2 linked regions of the Sus scrofa genome follow. The protein of the gene in region 2 binds, or shares a complex with, the protein of the main gene of each other region. Links are inferred from orthologs where the notes say so. Each region holds a gene or a part of one and is shown on either strand. Other genes may lie near its edges.

Region 1 (8,417 bases), on a different chromosome or scaffold from region 2:
CCTTGAGACAAGCAGCCCGCACCTCAAGGTGTCACTGTCACACTCGTCACCCAGCAGAGCCCAGCGGCACCGGGGGCAGGGCCCAGCTGCCCGGCCTCTAGGGCGTTCAGACTTAACTTTCCACTGCGGGAGCCAAGGGGCGGTTTCCAGGGGGGGCCACCAGACCTGCTCCTCAGAAGCGCCACCTCCAAGGCTGGACACGGACCGCGGCTGGAAAAGGGCCAGGGAGGGGCCGCAGGGCCCAGCGTCCCTGCGAGAAGGCACCCATCCACGTCCCACGGACGAGGAGCACGGAGGCCCCAAGAAACCTGGGGTACGGGGGGGGAGGGAGCAGCCCCGTGGCTGTGACGTGGCGCCAGGCAGAGGGTGCGGGGGCCAAGGGTGCCTCCCGGGCTCTCCCCAGACGCCGCAGGACACGGGTGGCCCTGGGGACGGCACCGGCAGCCTCGCCTGTCCACGCGGGGCCCGGGAGCCCCAGGACGCCAGGCCCTCAGACATGGCCCAGCTGCTCCCTGAGGACAGGCGGGCCTGGGGGGCAGAGACGCGGGGGCCCAGGGACAGCCGGAGCCGGGGCAGCATGGGACAGCGCAGGATCGCAAGTTCCTGGGCAGGCAAGCTGGGGAGCAGGTGTGTCCAGCCGGCCGCATGGGCAGGTCACTGCAGACAGCAGGGGTGCAGGGCCAAGGGGACCTCGGGCCTGAAGGACGTGCTTCTTGGGACCGTCTACGCCGACCTCCCTGAACCACGGCTCCTCTTCTCATCAGCCCGAGTTTTTAACGGCCCCGTTTCCCCCGGGAGGCACCACGGAAGGCCCCGGCCCAGCCCGGCCCCTCGCAGCCCAAGGCCCATGCCGGGACCCCCGCCTCGCCTGGGTCCCCGGCGCAGCCCGGCTGGCCCTGCCCAAGTGCGGAACTGTCATGTGTGAAGGCCGCACCTGTTCAAAAGTTTACCCAAAAACCAAAGATGCATTTCTGGCCACAGGGACACTTCAAGCTGCCTGCAGGGTGAGGGGCGGGCCCGTTACCTCTCCCAAGTGTATCTTTAAAAATCAAACTACCGGAAAGAGGGGACGCTGCCTTCTCCCAAAGAAGGGAAAACAGAAACCCTGACATGGGTGCAGCTACCGACCGCCAATTAAAACACACCCGCCCAGGGGTTCCCGCTGTGGCGCAGCAGTAACAAACCCAACTAGTACCCCGAGGATGCTGGTTCGATTCCTGGGCCAGCTCAGCAGGTTGAGGACCCGGCGTCGCCGGGAGCTGTGGTGGAGGTCGCAGATGTGGCCCGGATCTGGCGGCGTGGCTGTGGCTGTGGTGTAGGCTGGCGGCTGGAGCTCCGATTCGACCCCTAGCCTGGGAACTTTCATATGCCGCACACACCGCCCTAAGAAAAAACGCAAAAAACACAAAAACCACACCTCCCCAAACAGTGGCTGTGTTGTCAGGAGGCTCCGGGCTGCTGGCTTTCGCCTTTCTGTCCTGAGACACAGCAGACCAGGTTTCTGCATGAACCGTCCAGAGAGAAGAGCTGTCTGTGGGGCCCTCAGCCCATGGCTGGTTCTGGACGCCTGCTCGAGGCCCCCCTGCCCTCAGGGCACGGACCCCAGAGGAGCCGGGCCGTGGCTGACCCCGCCGTACACACCGAGACCTCGCCTGCCACCCTTGCGGCCACAGCTGCCACTGCCGACAGAAGGCCTCTGTCCAGGCCAGGTCACTTCCCAGGGACGAAGCAGGCCCTGCCCCTCCCAGGCCGACCCAATCGGCCCAGGCGGTCAGCTGGCCCAAAGCTGCAGCCAGGCCTTCACCCCGCCCGACTCCTGGCAGGGCCTTGGGACAGCCTGCCAGGTGGGACACGCAGGACTCCCAAGTGACGCGGGACTCTGCGAGCAACTTCTCATGTAAGTGTGGCCCACACAGTATTCGGGACACACGTATGCTAAGAAACTGTTTATCTGAAATTCAAATTTAACAGGCGTCCTGTGCTTCTCCCTGCTGAAGCCGGCACCTTCGGCAAAGGCTCTGCTCTCCGGGTCTTTAGTGGAGGAGACCCCGGAGGCGGGCGGGGGCAGGCCCCCGGCCAGGGCAGGACGCCTCCATCTGGACCCTGAGACACCCAGACACGGACCCCCGCGCAGCAGCAGCACCTCGGGACAGCAGCCCAGCCGGCCCGCACCAGGCCGGCCGAGCCCACGGCCCAGTGGACAGGGGCAAACGAGGCTTCCCTGCAGGGACCGAAGGGGTCCAAGTGGAAGCAGCCCCACCCATGGGCTACACCACAGGACCCCTGTTTACACCAAGGGAGGGGGGTTGCCAAGAGGAGGGTGACAGAAGTCCAAGTCCAGGGGCACCCCGGCCCTTGGAACCAGTCGCGACAAGCAGGCACGGGGCGGGGGGCCTGGGAGGGAGAGGCAGAGGAGGCCACGGAGGGCCTCTGGGTGACACCCAAGCCTCCCTCTCCAGCCTCGGTGTCTGCGGCCGGCCGGGAGCTGGGCGCCCCTGCCCTGGGAACACTCCATTTACTGAACACGCTGAGCAAGACTTCAGGGCCACAGCCTGGGGTGGGAGGTGAGCCCACACCTGCAGAGAGGCTCTGCGTGGGGAAAGCCAAGGGGCACCGAGTGGGCGGGGGGACGGCCAGACCAGAGGAGGGCCTTGGGCTGGGCAGGAGGGGGTCTGCGCTGAGGAAAGGCGTTCCAGGAGGGCGAGGGGGTGGCACTGAAAGGGGGCAGCTGCGAGGCGGGCAGGAGCCCTGGGCTGCAGCAGCTGGGCTAGGGGCCAACGGACGGAGAAAGCGACTCCGTCCGTGGGGTTCCACGGGGGGCCACCCAGCCTGGCAGTGTATTGAGAGACCCCGGGGGCCTCCCTCCACAGATCGGCTCCCCCCCGGACTGGAGAAGTTGGGAAACCAACAGGCCCCTCTCTGAAGGCCCCCGCCCCCTAGCCTGCTCTCCCCCCGCCACCGCCGTGTCCACCAGGGGCCTGCTGCCGAATGGGGTAAGGGCCCCCATTTCCGTGACACCTCTGAGCCAGAGAGGAGGGAGGGCTGGACAGCGGGGCGGGTGCGCCCAAGGTCACAAGGTTGGCCTGGCACTCGGGGGTCAGCCGGCCAGCGAGAGAGGGTAGACTGAAGACACAGGTGACTTGGAAAGCCAGGCCAGAGCTGTCCTCAGCCCTGACCAAAGGGGGGCAAGTGGGCGGCTCAAAGTCTCCGAGAGGGTGGGCATCTCACCACCTGTGAAGGACCAGATGAGGCCAGCTCGGGACCCCGTGGGGACCCGTAGCACGAGCCTCCTAGAGCCCCCTCCCCACAAAGTGGGGCAAAGCCCAAAGCTGGAGGCTTCCTGGGGCTTGAGTGGGAGAAGCAACAGCCCCAGGAAGGAAGCCCCCACCCCGGATCTCAGCTAGCTCTGCACCCCCTAACCAGGGGGCCACCTGCCTCTTTCCCAAATGCAAAGCACCTCCCTGCTGGGCCGCAGAAACAGGAGACAGCAGAGAAAAGATCAGGGTGCCAGCAGCACGCTGGGGGGAGCACAGGCCGCTGAGGACCTGGAGAGGGAATCCTGCCGGGGAAGCCCCCAGGCCCACGCCGGCCCAGAGGGCAGCTCCCAGGTGACCGCAGGCTCGCGGCGGGAACGCGGCCGCCACATACAGCTCCCCACCCCCCGAGGGGACCACTGCCCCCCGCCCCCAGCAGCTGAACCAGCCCTCGGCGCCGCCGCGGGGGTGCTCTCCACACCACAAGGGCCCCAAACTCCCACTCCCAGGAGCCGCCAGCACCTCCCAATGCCACGTGCTCCTGCTCCCGAGTTGGGGGGATCCCGCCAGGCGCCCCAGCCCCAAAGGATGCTCTGCGACTCCCAGAGCTCCTCAGCCCCACGCTCAGCCCCCAACAGGTGGGCAGAGCCCCCGCCTGGCCGCTGCCGGCCCAGCCACTACCCCCCACCGGCTCCAGGAGGGGCCGGGCCAAGGGGCCAAGTCGGGTGGCGACGAGCACGGCCAGGGCAGAGGTGGTGGTGGAGGAGCCGGCTGCTCAGAAAAGATGGAGCGGGAAGGGGAAGGAGACAGGGGCGGGGGGGGGGGCGCAGCAGAGGAGTGGGCGCCGCGGGCAGGAGGGAGGGTGGCCCAGGCAGGCGGCCTGCAGTGGGGGAGGGGTGCAGAGGTGGAGGGAGGGGACCAGAAGTGGGCCGATGGGGGGGCGATGGGGAGGCGGGCGGAGGGGGAGGGGGGAAGCGGAACGGGGGGAGGGGCGGGACAAGATGGGGGACCCGGGCAGGGGGTGCCGAGGGGGCGCGCGCGGGGGGAAGGGGGCGGCGGACGGCGAGGCCCGGGGCGCCGACCGGGGCCTGAGGCGCGGCGGGGCGGCGCGATGGGGGGCCCGGCGGGGACGCGGGTGGCGGGGCCGGGGCCCGCGGCGCCTCGCGGCGGCGGCGGCGGGCGGGCGGCGGCCTTACCTCCGACCCTGTACATGTTGGCGGCCATGTCCGGCGGCGGCGGCGGAGGCCGCGGGCTGGGCCGGGCTGGGCGCTGGGCTCGGCGCGGGCGGCCTGGAAAATGGAGGCGCGCGGGCGCGGGGCGCGGGGGCGCGGGCGGGCGGGCGGTTTAAAGGGGCCGCGCTGCCGCCGCCGCCGCCGCCGCCGCCGCTGCCGCCGCCGCCGCCGCCGCCGCCGCCGCCGCCGCCGAGGCCGCCGAGGCCGCCGAGGCCGCGCAGGGACCGAGGGCCGCGGCGCGGGCGGGAGAGGAAGAGGAGGAGCGGCCGCGGGGAGGGAGGGGCCTCGGGCGCCACCGCCCACCGCGCGGGCCGTTACCCGCCCCGCGGCCGCGCGCTCCCCGCCGCCTCCCGCGCCCCCGCCCCGCCCCGCCCGCACCCCGGGCCCCGGGCCGCAGCGGCCCATCGGCCCTCCGCCCCGGGTCCGCCCTGGCCCCCCCCCGCCCCCCGCCCGGCCCTTTCCGCGCAGCCTCCCGCCCGAGGGCGCCCTCCGAGTCCGCGCGTTCGCAGGCGCTCGGCCGCCCGCCGCTCCGTGGGCGGCCCGGGCCCTCCGGCCCCGGCCCTCGGCGCCCCGCCCGCACGGCCCCCGGCACACAGTTGCGGGCCGCTTTCCCCCACCTCTCAGCTGGCACGGCCCCCCTGACGGTGCCCGAGGGAGGAGGGGTGGGCGTGCCCGGAGGAGGCCGCCCTCCGGAAGGCGCCCCCCGCCCCCGGGGGGGCCCCCCCCCGCAGGCACAGCCCAGACCAGGGGGTGCAGGGAGGCGCGGGGGCCGCGGGAGCGAGCGAGGCTCCCGCCTGTCCTCCCAGCCCCGCGTGTGAGCTGGGCGCCTGAGGTCCAGGACGGCCCGGACGCTGCCCGGGGAGGCGGGTGGGGAGGCTGCTGGGCGGAGGGGATGGAGCCCCGCACGGAGAGAAGCAAGGGGCCGGGTCCAGGATCAACCTGACTGCCAGGGGGCTGCAAAGGAGGAGCCAGCCCTGTGGGACCTGGAGGGGCTGGGGCTCCAGAGGCCCCAGGGCTGACCGCCTGCCAGGAAAGGCAGAGGAGCAGGGGCTAGGTGCTGCTGACATGTAGGCCGTCCCCCAAGTGTCGCGAGGTGCGATGGTCTCCCTCGCTCCCCGCAGGCCTGGTCCCTGCCTCCGGGGCCTGCATCTCCTCATCTGGACGGCGAAGCTGCAGCACTACCTAACAGGTGGACCAAAACTTAATCAGAACCCCCAATAAATACATGCCCAGGCAGCTGCTGGTCACAGAGAGTGCCCACAACGTCCTGCCTGTAAAGTGCCTGCTCCTGCCTCCCTTCTGGAAATAAGACAGCCCCTGGAGAGCAGAGGCAGCTGAAAGGTGGGGGCCGTTTTCCTCCCGGCGCGGGTGCTGGCAGGTGAGTGGCAGTCGGAAGCCATTGGAATTGCACGACTCCCCCAAGGAGGAGGAATCGCCCTCCCAAAGCACCGTGACTTCTAATAAACCCTTGGGAGAGGCCGCCAAGCCCGCGCCCGCTCCTCGGCTGGCTTTCGCCCTGTGTTCCTCTCCCAAGATGGACAGAAAGGAGACTGCACACAAGGCCCAGCCCCTAGACCAGCTCTGGGACAAGTCACTTGGCAAAAAGGACAGGGGTGAGGAGTTCCTGTCGTGGCGCAGTGGAACGGGTTCCATCCCTGGCCTCGCTCAGTGGGTCAAGGAGCCAGCGTTGCCATGGGCTGTGGTGTAGGTCGCAGATGCAGCTCAGATCCGGCCTTGCTGTGGCCGTGATGTAGGCCGGCGGCTACAGCTCCAGTTAGACCCCAGCCTGGGAACCTCCATAGGCCATGGGTGCGGCCCTAAAGAGACAAAAAAAATTTTTGAATAAAAACAAAAAACAAAAATAATTTGATTCTTAAACTCAGAGGAAGGAAGGAAGCATTCATCTAATTTCAGCAATCATGTCTTCTCTCTACATTTTAAAATCTGAAAGGACTATTCTACACTTAGTCTGCATTTCTGTACATGCTCTTGTGTCTGCCTGGGCCTTTAGAAATATCCGAACAAACTTCACCCTGTTAACAGCAGTCTTGAGGATAAAATTCTTGGCGAGATTTTTAAAACTTTGTTGGGTCGCTGAACAGCGAGCAAGGCTTCTGTAAGACCAACGAAGTCATTGTGGTCAACGGTCAGTGCTGGGCAGCAACTGCATGCTGGCCTGGGGAGGGCTCCAGTGACACCTCCCAGGTGCCCGGCCAGCCCTGGGGGCCGTGCCCTGCGAGGGGAGCCAAGGGCAGCTCTCCCTTCTGCCGGGCGTATCCAGAGGGGCTTCTGCTTCCTGCTCTGAGCCACCTGACCCGCGAGCCAGCCCAGGTGACCGTCCTTGCCGCCACAGGGGCACCCGAGTGGTGTCCCTTGAGTCTGGGGAGTCATACTGGTCCTCCCAGACTTTAGGGAGAGACCTACCTGCTTGGGACAGTTTAGAATGGATGCACAGTGGTCACACTACAGTGTCCCCTCTCTGTGGTGACTGGGCACCCTGTCCTGAGCAGTGTGAGCTGCCCGACCTGTGTGCCCTGGGGCCCCGCCTCTCATGCAGGCTCCCAGCCAGGGCACTGGGGACCCTGGGGCCCCGCAACTCTTGGTTGCTGGGGGCCTGGGCTCTGCGGGAACTGAGCAGCACTCTTACCCAGCCGATGCCAGGCGCCCCAGTGGAAGGCAGGTGCCGCCCCTCAAAGGTCTTCACCCCAAACCTGTCACTGTGCTCAGCTGGTGGCAAGAGTGTGGGGAAGCTGGCTGACCAGCGACCTTAGAACAGTCTCTTGATCACCAAGCGGGCCTGAGGCCATCCTGTGGCCCTGACGTGGGGACAGGGCAGAAGAGAGTTGTGGGCCCCTGGCTCCGAAGGCGGAGGCGGAGAACGGGGGTGGGGGCTCTGGAAGCCCAGCGGGGCTGGCGCCCGAGGCAAGACAGCAGCCCCGCCGCCCGGCACAGCCCGGTGAGGCCGCCTCAGCCTCAGCAGACCCTCCCCTTCGGGGATCTGCCTGAAGGCACTGACTCCGTGGTAGCTTGTTAGGGTGGTGGCAGGAAACCCACACACTTGGCGGACAAAAAACTGTCTCCAGGCACTATCACCTCTCCCTGGACACCAGGCCCAACTGGAGAGGGCCATGGCCTCCCTGCTCGTCCCCCCAGGGCCAGCGGGGGACGATGCCCAGCCTTGGGCCCCAGCTCCAGGGAGGCTGTGCAGCTTCTGCTGCTGTGGTGGGGAGCGCTGGGTGGTCCCAGGGAGTGAGCCTTCGTGCAGGCCAGAGGGCCCTGGACCCACCCCATCTGACACCCCAGGAGGCCTGGCAGGGTGAGCAGGTGAGGCCCTGGGCCTCTGCTGAAGACACGCTGTCCTTGAGAACCACTCGGGGCCCCAGCCCCTGTCATTGCCGTCATAGCTGCTAACACTTCAGCTTAGAGGCTGGGGGTTTTCCTGCCCAGCGTGGTGTCTGGCCCAGGGCAGATTTTGGCCCCTGACACCTCCTCCCCACTTCATTGGGGGGGGGGGCTGGAGAAGGAGGAGGGGGTGCCATGGGGTCTCCCGTGGCCCTGCCCAAACCTCACCCCTGCCCTTCTCTGCCCCTCGGGACGCGCCTCCCAGCTCCTCCCAGCCCCACCATCCCTGTGGCTCTGCACCAACTTAGAGATGCTGAGGAATACACAGGAACCATTTTTCTTTTTGTCTTTTTAGGGCCGCACCCACAGCATATGGAAGTTCCCAGGCTAGGGGTTGAAGCGGAGCTGCAGCCGCTGGCCTACACCAGAGCCACGGCAACGTGGGATCTGAGGCACATCTGGGACCTACACCACAGCCACAGCAACACAGGATCCTAAACCCACTGAGCGAGGCCGGGGATCGAACCCGCATCCTCATGGATCCTAGCTGGATTCATTACCACTGAGCCACAACGGGAACTCCCGGAGG
Region 2 (8,271 bases):
AGGGGCCCCCAGCTCTCTATGAAACCCACCCGGACTCCACTAGGACATGAGCCCCCACCTCTCTGACGGGGCCACAACCTTGTGGGGAATGAGTGGGAATGGGCACCCCCTGACACCAGCCTCTATCCAAGCTCAGAGCAAGAGTTGAGGCCATACCTCACTTCCCTAGGAACAAAGCATGAAAACCCCCAGGGACATATGTGGGCTGGTGGTCCCAACAGGACTGTGGCTCTTGGAGTTTCCAGCCTCCCACATGCAGCATGTGGAAGTTCCCAGGCCAGGGATTGAACCCGCACCATGGCAGTGACCCAGGCCGCTGCAGTGGCAGCATCAGATCCTTCACCCACTGAGCTATAAGGGAACTCCCATCACCCCTCTGTTCTGAAGCCCTAGCCTTGAGTTGAGGAGGCTCAGATGACCGCTCCATTCCTTCATCTCTACTCCTTCCACAGCTCCCCCTCAGGGCCCAGGCTGCCCTCAGAGCCCCTCCCCCTGGGCATCACCCCCCCTGCTGTACCTGGGTATAGCCTAGAGATGGTGGCCCATAGTCACTCAGCAGCTGGCGGTACTGTGAAGATGTCGCCATACTGGTGGAGGGCGGGTGGACACTCCCAGCTACGGGGAAGGAGACAGGAGTTAATAATCAAGTAGCCTTGGCTAACTGTACCAGAGGTGAGGACTCTCAGTCCTCCTGCTCAGGCCTCAAGCCATCAACAGTACTCTTTTATCTCCAAGGACAGAGAACCCTACTCTTGCTCCTGGTTTGGCCATGGCTGACAAGCAGCCTAGATGATTGATGGTAAAATATAGCTAATAGGCTCCTGATCTTCACATACGCCAACCACCACAGCAGACATTGCTAATCAAACACAGAAATCCTTCCCATCCATTCAGTCTAGATTGGTACCAAAGATGAAATCTGCTGCTGTTTCCTGCCTAACCCTTGCAAGTCCCCTTTCCCTGGGTCCTGCTCCCCAGAGGCTGATACCCTAGAGCCACAAGCCTGCCACAGGAGCCCACTTGCCACTAAGGCTGGCCTGCTCCTGGGCTAATACTTCCTCTGTGCCCTAACCTCTGCTGGACTATATCGTGAGGAAGATGGGGGACAGTCGAGAGGTTCTGAGACCCAACCCTAGCAGGGGACTGGTGTTCTAGATACAAAGTCAGGAATCTGGAGTACATCCCAGCCTGCATATCCTCAAACAAGTCCCTTACCTCTGAGCTCCTGTCGCCTCTCCCCAAAGAGGGGACAAGAGTCTTGACAGTCTGAGTCTATGCCCAGATGGCTTGCACCCCAAGAGAGGAGGGGTCAGACCCTACTGGGAGACACTGGCCCGCAGCAGAGGGGCCACGTGGGGCCAGGGCCAGGCCCAGAATGGAGTCTCCCAGATGGCAGTTGGGAGATGCTCAACAGGGAATTTTCCAGCTCCAGCTCAGTAGCTGGAAGCATGCAGACCCGTAATGGCGTCCGAGTGGCCATTAGCGGGTAAAGGATGTCCTGCAGAATTACAAACAGCGGTAACCATGGAGAATTTACCTAGCCCTCCTCAGCAGCTGCCCGCCTGCCTCCACGCCTGGCCGGGGAGCAGCTTCCCCTCTGCCTGCCGCCCCCAGAGCCAAACGGTCCCTCTCTCACGCACACAGCAGGCTCTGCAGACTTGGCCCCGGGGATGGACAGCTGGTGCCAGGCCGGCCAAACCGACCAGCTGCTCATCTGGTGTGGGCAAGGGGAGGGGCAGGGAGGAAGGAAGTCAGGAGCTCAGGCTGATAGAACTGGAAGGAGCCCTGGAGCCCCTCCCTGGAGAGAGAGCAACACAGACCAGAGAGGGTGGGCACTGCCCCAGGCCACACAGTGCAGAAGCGGCTACCTGTCCCTCTGTCCAGAAGCTGGGGACAGCCCCATACCCAATCTCAAGCCTGCCCTGGAATTTTTCCACTGGGGCCCGGATTTATGCTCAAGCACAAGATGTGCAGTCAGGAAACATGGATTCTGCCACCTCTAGGCTGCAGACTGGGCACAGCGCTGTGCTGCTCGGAGCCTCACTGCCACACCTCTAGAGCAGCGATGCTGAAACACCTGTGGTATGGAACTACAAGCACGTGAGCACATGTGGGACCTCTGTCTGAGGCAACTGTGAGTGTGCAGTGTCCAGAACACAAGAAGGTGTGGCAGGGCGGGTGTCCCCCACACCCCAGGTCTCCTCACCACATCAACCAAACCCCAATTTCCTGATCTTCTGATGTGGGTGGTGAGTGCGGTCTGGGTAGCTCAGGCTTCGCCATCCCAGGCCCAGGTTCAAGTCCTGGCCACTACAAGGTATTACACCATTCTGTAAGGCCAGGATGCTAAATGCCAAGACTGGGGGCGAGGGGTGGGGGGTGAACTGCACTGTTCAGCACTTTGAGGCATCTAGAAGATTCCAACTCCCTGGCAGGAGGTGAGCTGGACACCTGTCCTCCTCCTCTTATTGCTGTTTTGCATTTCTTGCCTCCCTGACCCCACCTTCTCTCCTACAGGCAAGGGCCTGGACTAGGAGCCAGTTCAGCTGTGTGACTTAAGGCAAGGCCCTTCCCTCTCTGGGCCTCAGTTTATCCGTCAGTTTGAGGCAATGGTTCCTAACAGAATGTCTAAAGGCTCTAGCTCCTACTCCTCCGCAATGCTGGGGTTAGGTCTTAGGGGAGCTCTGGGAAGAGGGAGGAAGGAGAGCCCCCACGTTTTGGTTAGGGGTGTGGAGGGAGGGGGAGATGGGAAACAGCCCAGGGCTTGACTTGCCCTGGGTGATGTGGTAGGGACCCCGAATCAGTGGCCTCACTTGCTGTTGGCGGGGAGGGTATCTGTGGCCCTAGGGAGAGTTTGCAGAAGGGCCCTGAGTTCCACTCATGCCCACTCCTTCCCGCAGATACAGGGAGGGCCAGCGGCTGCCGAAGGCCACGGAGAAAACCAGACTGGGCGTGAGCACGGCTGGCCGGCCGTCTCGGAGCATCGCAGACAATGTGCGCAGTGTGCGGGGGACCAGGGAGGGCCCAGAGCTGAGGGAGGGATTGGCAGAGGCCAGCAGCTCCTGGGGCCAGGCGCGGCTCCCCACCCCCACGCCAGACAAAGAGCAGCCTGGGCCTGGGGAGCTGGCGGCCTTCCCGCCACTTGGGGCGCCTGGGGGGGCTCTCTGGCGGGGAGGCAGGGGCTTTGTCTAACTCAGCCACTGCCACTGCCGGCCAGGCCGCGGCTTGGCAACTCGCGAGCAGGAGGCAGGGCTGGAGGGCGTGAGGGATGATGACAAGGAAGCCGGAGGAGCGGCAGCGGAGAGTCCATCTTGGATGCAAATGGCAGGGGGAGATCGGGCTTTCCAAAGGGGTCCACAGGGAGGGGAGCAGCCTGCCACAGATCTGGGGACCTCAGCACTCCTCCTGGAGTTCACCAGAGGAGAAAGAAGAAAATCTGTGCACAGGTGCTAGCCAGCCCAGAACAGGACTTCAGGGGTGCTGAGTGGCTGCCTCTGCCACCGTGACCCCAGTCCCCAAAGGTCCCAGTTTAGGGTCCCTGCCTCAGCTGTACCAGGGCAGGCCTGAGATATCCCACCTGTACAGGCAGCAGCAAGACCCTCCATCCTTACCACAGTCAGATGAAGGAGGCAGTGAGAAATACTACAGGCAGCAAAGCTTGTCTTTATAAGGTTTGCAGACCCCAGAAGAGGTGAGAACATTTGAAGAGAAAATAGTGGCTGTTTGCTCTTGAGGCTTAGAGCCCACATTTGACCAACTTAGCTATCCCCCACCCAATCACATCCTGAATCTTAACCCTTTCCACTCCCCAATCTGTGTCTAAGAAGTTAAAAAATAAATAAATATTTATTTATTTACATGCATTGCTTTTCTGGGTCCCCTATAGGATTTTTGGAGTTATGGAGTCAACCATTTGGAGACAAGGCTCAAAACTTTCGGACAACTGCCAGCGTGGCATTTCGGACCAGAGACGCCAGTCTCCTCCCCGCCAATCACACCCCCCCACGCCCCCACGCGCCTAGCTTTTTGGAAGTTTGTTTCCCACCAAGAGTCCAAAGGAGAAGGGCTATAGTGAAGGGAAAGAGCAAATCACCCCCGAACCCCACAATTTTACCCTCCCCTCCCCCCGGTGCCTTTCGTCCTTGGGAGGAGACCCTGGACACAGCCTAAAGCTGCCTGACAACTTCTGGAGGAGTTTCCTGGGACCGTCCAGTTCCAGCCCCAAGGAAGGGAGAGGACGGCCCCTAGGCTTCTGCGGGAGGGGACCTTCCAAACCCAGAGTTGGGGGCTCAAGATGCGGGGCCCCGAAATGCGGGCCCCAGGCCGAAATGCCGCCCCCACCCTCCGCCTGCAGGCACTCCGAAACCCCGGGTCTTCAACTTCGCTCATTCTGCCGCACACGCCTGAGGGGACCTTGCCGCGAGCCCCATTTTGGGCACCCCGCTCCCACGCGCCAGGCCGAGCCGCCACCGATGATGTCCCCTGCACCGCCGGTGACCCCAGCGGCCCCGGGCCCTCAGGGCGGGCTGCACTTGGCACGCTCGCCACCCCGCAGCGCTGCCGCGCGTGGCCTAACCTTGCTCACGTGCACGCAGCAGTCTCGGCCCCCGCCCGGGCTTGACCCCCGCTCCCCAAGGGCGGCCCGCGCCCCGCTCCCGGAGCCCCGCTCCCCGCGCGGCCCGGCCGCTCCCGACTCCCGCCGGCAGGGGCCCTCGCCGAGCCGCCCAAAAGCCGGAGGAAAACGGAGCCGAGAAAGCCTCCCCCGCCCTCGCTCGCCGCGCTCCCCGCGAGCCCTCAGCCGCCGGCGTGGGGGGGACCGCGGCGGCAGCCAGCGCCCCGGGCCCCGGCCCGGCCCGAGGCCCGGCGCGGCACAGGGCGCACCAGCGAACTTTGGCGGCGTGGGCGCCAGAATCATGGCGGCGGCGGCGGCGGCCCCGCTGCCCCGGGCCGGGACCCGGTGCCTGCCACCCCCGGCCGCCGCGGGTCCCCGGGAGCCGGGGCCGGGGCCGGGCGCGCGGGCCCTCAACTTGGCCGCACTTGGGGCGCGGCGCACGCGGCCCGCAGGGCGCACTCACTTACCGGCGTTGAGGGAGGCGGCGGGCATGTGCGCGGTCAAGTTCGGTTTGTAAGACATCCCCCCGAGCGGCGGGGCGCGCCGGGGCGCAGCGGGGCCAGGCCCGCGAGGGCGACGGCGGCGGCGAGGCCGGACGGCGGCGAGGCGGCCCCGGCGTCCGTGCGCCCGTCCGTGCGCCCGCCGAGCTCCCGCGCACTTTTTGTTGTTGACGGCTCGGGCCGCACCGGCAAATATGGCCGTCCCTCACCCTGACACCCGCTGCAGTATATCACCCATACATCGGGCGGGCGCGCGGGCGCAGGGGCGGCCGCAAACTTTGAGCGGAGCCAGCGGGGCCGGCCCGGGCCGGGAGGGGGCGGCCCGGCGCGCCGCGGCCCGGCGTCAGGGGGCGGCTCCGCCCGCTGCCGCGCCCCGCGCCTCCGGGCGCGCTCGGCGCCCGCAACTTGGCAAAGTTTGGGGGGCTGGGGTCCCGGCGGCGCCCGAGGCCCGCGTGGGTCCCTTTCTTCTTCTACGCAGGCGGCGCCTGAAGATTTGTTCTTTTACCGATTAATTTTTTTAATAGCTAGGTAGGATTGCAGAATTACTTTTTTCCCCCTGGACTGTGGGGGCAGGGATGGAAAATTACCTGGAGAAAATGGTGGCGAGTGGTATTTTTAAGCGCGTAGATCTTTCCAGACGCCAAGGTCTGGCTACACCCCAGAGTAAGAACAACCAATTTTTGACATTGATTTCAAATAAATTTCACGTCCCTGTCGGTATTAAGTGGTTTTAACCCTTTAGGGGCCTAGACACCTTTGAGACTGTACAAAAGCCAGCAGCCTCCTCCCCTGGAAAATACACCCGAACATTCACACAATTTTGCATCTTAACACATTCAGATACTTAAGAAGCGCCTACTGTGTGCGGTGCACTGTTCCAGGTGCTAAAGATACAGAATAAACTTGACAAAGTTTCTTCTCTCCTGGAGAATTTTTTTGCAATTTTTGACTCTCCTCTACCCCCACCCCAGCCCACTTCTCAGATCTGACTGAAACACAATCACCAAATGTATTTTGCATTAGGTGATGAAGCTTTTGAAGGTATTATTTCTTGGAGTTCTGCTTGAATAGTAAATCTTGTCAAAATACAAGAGATGCCCACCCTTTTCTGCCCTTTGTAATCGCCATGCTTTGCCGAATTTTTTTGATTAGCCACAGACATTCAGATACATCCGGATCTACTGAGGAAGGCATCAACCTTTTTGCCTGAAAGCAAAGGGACACCATCCATGCCTTCCCTCCATCCCTTTAGGAATGAAGGTACAGGTGACACTCCCTTCTCAGCACCCCTTGTGATAAGCTTTAGGCTGGTTCAGCCAAGAATGTTCAGTGATTCTGCTGTTAGGCACCGGGGACTATATCCAATCGCTTGTGATAGAACATAATGGAAGATAATGTGAGAAGTGTGTGTAAGTATATATATATATGTGTGTATGTATGTATATATGTATGAATGACTGAGCTCTTTGCTGTACAGCAGACATTGACAAGAACATTGTAAATCAACTATAATAAAAAAAAATTTTTTAGGTGTTCCCATCATGGCTCAGCGGCAACAAACCCGACTAGTATCTATAAGGATGCAGGTTCGATCCCTGGCCTTGCTCAGTGGGTTAAGGATCTAGCATTGCCGTGAGCTGTAGTGTAGGTCACAGACTCGGCTCAGATCCTGAGCTGCTGTGGCTATGGCATAGGCTGGCAGCTATAGCTCTGATTCAACCCCTTAGCCTGAAAATTTCTATATGCTACGGGTACAGCCCGAAAAAGACAAAGACAAAAAAAAAAAAAAAAAAAACACGTTTTTTTTTAAGAATGCTCAGTGAAATTTTTTTCACGAATAAATTAATATCACCCTTTTGCTACCCTGCCTCTAGAGGACCAGTACTCTAGAGTAGCATTGTCTAAAAGAAAAGTATTGCAGGCCACGCAAATAATTTAAAAGTTTTAGTAGTCACATTTTAGAAAGTAAGAACTGGTGAAATTAATCTCAATTATAACATAGTTTATTTAACATAATATACCCCAAAATGGTATGATTTTGATACATAATGAATATAAAGCAATTATTAAGATACTTTACATTCTTTTTTATGATACTAAACTCTTCAAAACCCAAACTGTATTTTACCCTTACAGCTCATCCTTATTCAGACTGGCCACAGGTCAAGTGCTCAGTAGCCATGATAGCTAGCGATTTTCCTGTTGAACCAGTGAAGGGCTAGAAACTACAAGAATTGGACTCATAAGGTATTCATTCTGGCTCCATCACCTGCCAGCTGTTTGACAAAACCTCCATTTCCTTGCAGCAAGAATCCAGATCTCTGTGGCCTGCCTCAGTCCCTTCTACAGATGCTGTGGGCTCTTTTCTTTCTATGTTGTGTTTTTAACATGCTGCCCACCATCCCCCTCACTAATCGTTATTGAAAAATATTTTTCCTTTTGTTTTTAATTGAGATCTAGTTTACTTAGTATAAAATTTATCCTTTTAAGTGGTTAAGGATTCGAGATGTTGATACTGCTATGGTGGGAGTTCAATCTCTGGCCCAGGAACTTCTGCATGCCACTGGTGCAGCCAAATAAAATAAAATAAAATATACAGTTCAGGGAGTTCCTGTTGTGGTTCAGTGGTCAACGAATCCTACCAGAAACCATGAAGTTGCAGGTTCAATCCCCGGCCTTGCTCAGTGGGTTAAGGATCTGACATTGCCATGAGCTGTGGTGTAGGTTGCAGATGTGGCTTGGAACCCACGTTGCTGTGACTGTGGCATAGACCAGCAGCTACAGGTCCAATTAGACCTCTAGCCTGGGAACCTCCATATGCTGTAGGTGCGGCCCTAGAAAAGACCAAAAAAAAAAAAAAATATATATATATATATATATATATATATATGCACACACACACACACACACACACACACACACACACACACACACACACACACACACTTCAACAGTTCAGTGAGTTTTGTGATCATCACCACCACTATCTAATTCTAGAACATTTTTGTCATCTGAAAAGGAAAATCTATACCTAACAGCAGTCACTCCCCATCCCCCACTACCCATAGCTTTAGGCAGCTGCTAGTCTACCTTCCATGCCTATGGATGTACCTATTCTGGACATTTCCTATGAATTAAATCATACAATATGTGTACAGC

The links.
Region 1: CDK2AP1 (region 2) and MTA1 share a complex: the UniProt entries of both Homo sapiens proteins name them as parts of the nucleosome remodeling and deacetylase (NuRD) repressor complex. The link is inferred for Sus scrofa from reciprocal best matches to the Homo sapiens genes CDK2AP1 and MTA1.

The regions. Positions count from the first base shown.
Region 1 is NW_018084979.1:3,457,182-3,465,598, reverse strand, and holds the start of MTA1 (metastasis-associated protein MTA1), read right to left. Parts: upstream 4,559-8,417; 5' UTR 4,479-4,558; coding exon 4,451-4,478; intron 1-4,450. UniProt on the Homo sapiens protein: Transcriptional coregulator which can act as both a transcriptional corepressor and coactivator. Acts as a component of the histone deacetylase NuRD complex which participates in the remodeling of chromatin.
Region 2 is NC_010456.5:29,628,202-29,636,472, reverse strand, and holds the start of CDK2AP1 (cyclin-dependent kinase 2-associated protein 1), read right to left. Parts: upstream 5,390-8,271; 5' UTR 5,135-5,389; coding exon 5,080-5,134; intron 4,687-5,079; exon of another isoform or gene 4,577-4,686; intron 616-4,576; coding exon 518-615; intron 1-517. UniProt on the Homo sapiens protein: Inhibitor of cyclin-dependent kinase CDK2. Also acts as a component of the histone deacetylase NuRD complex which participates in the remodeling of chromatin.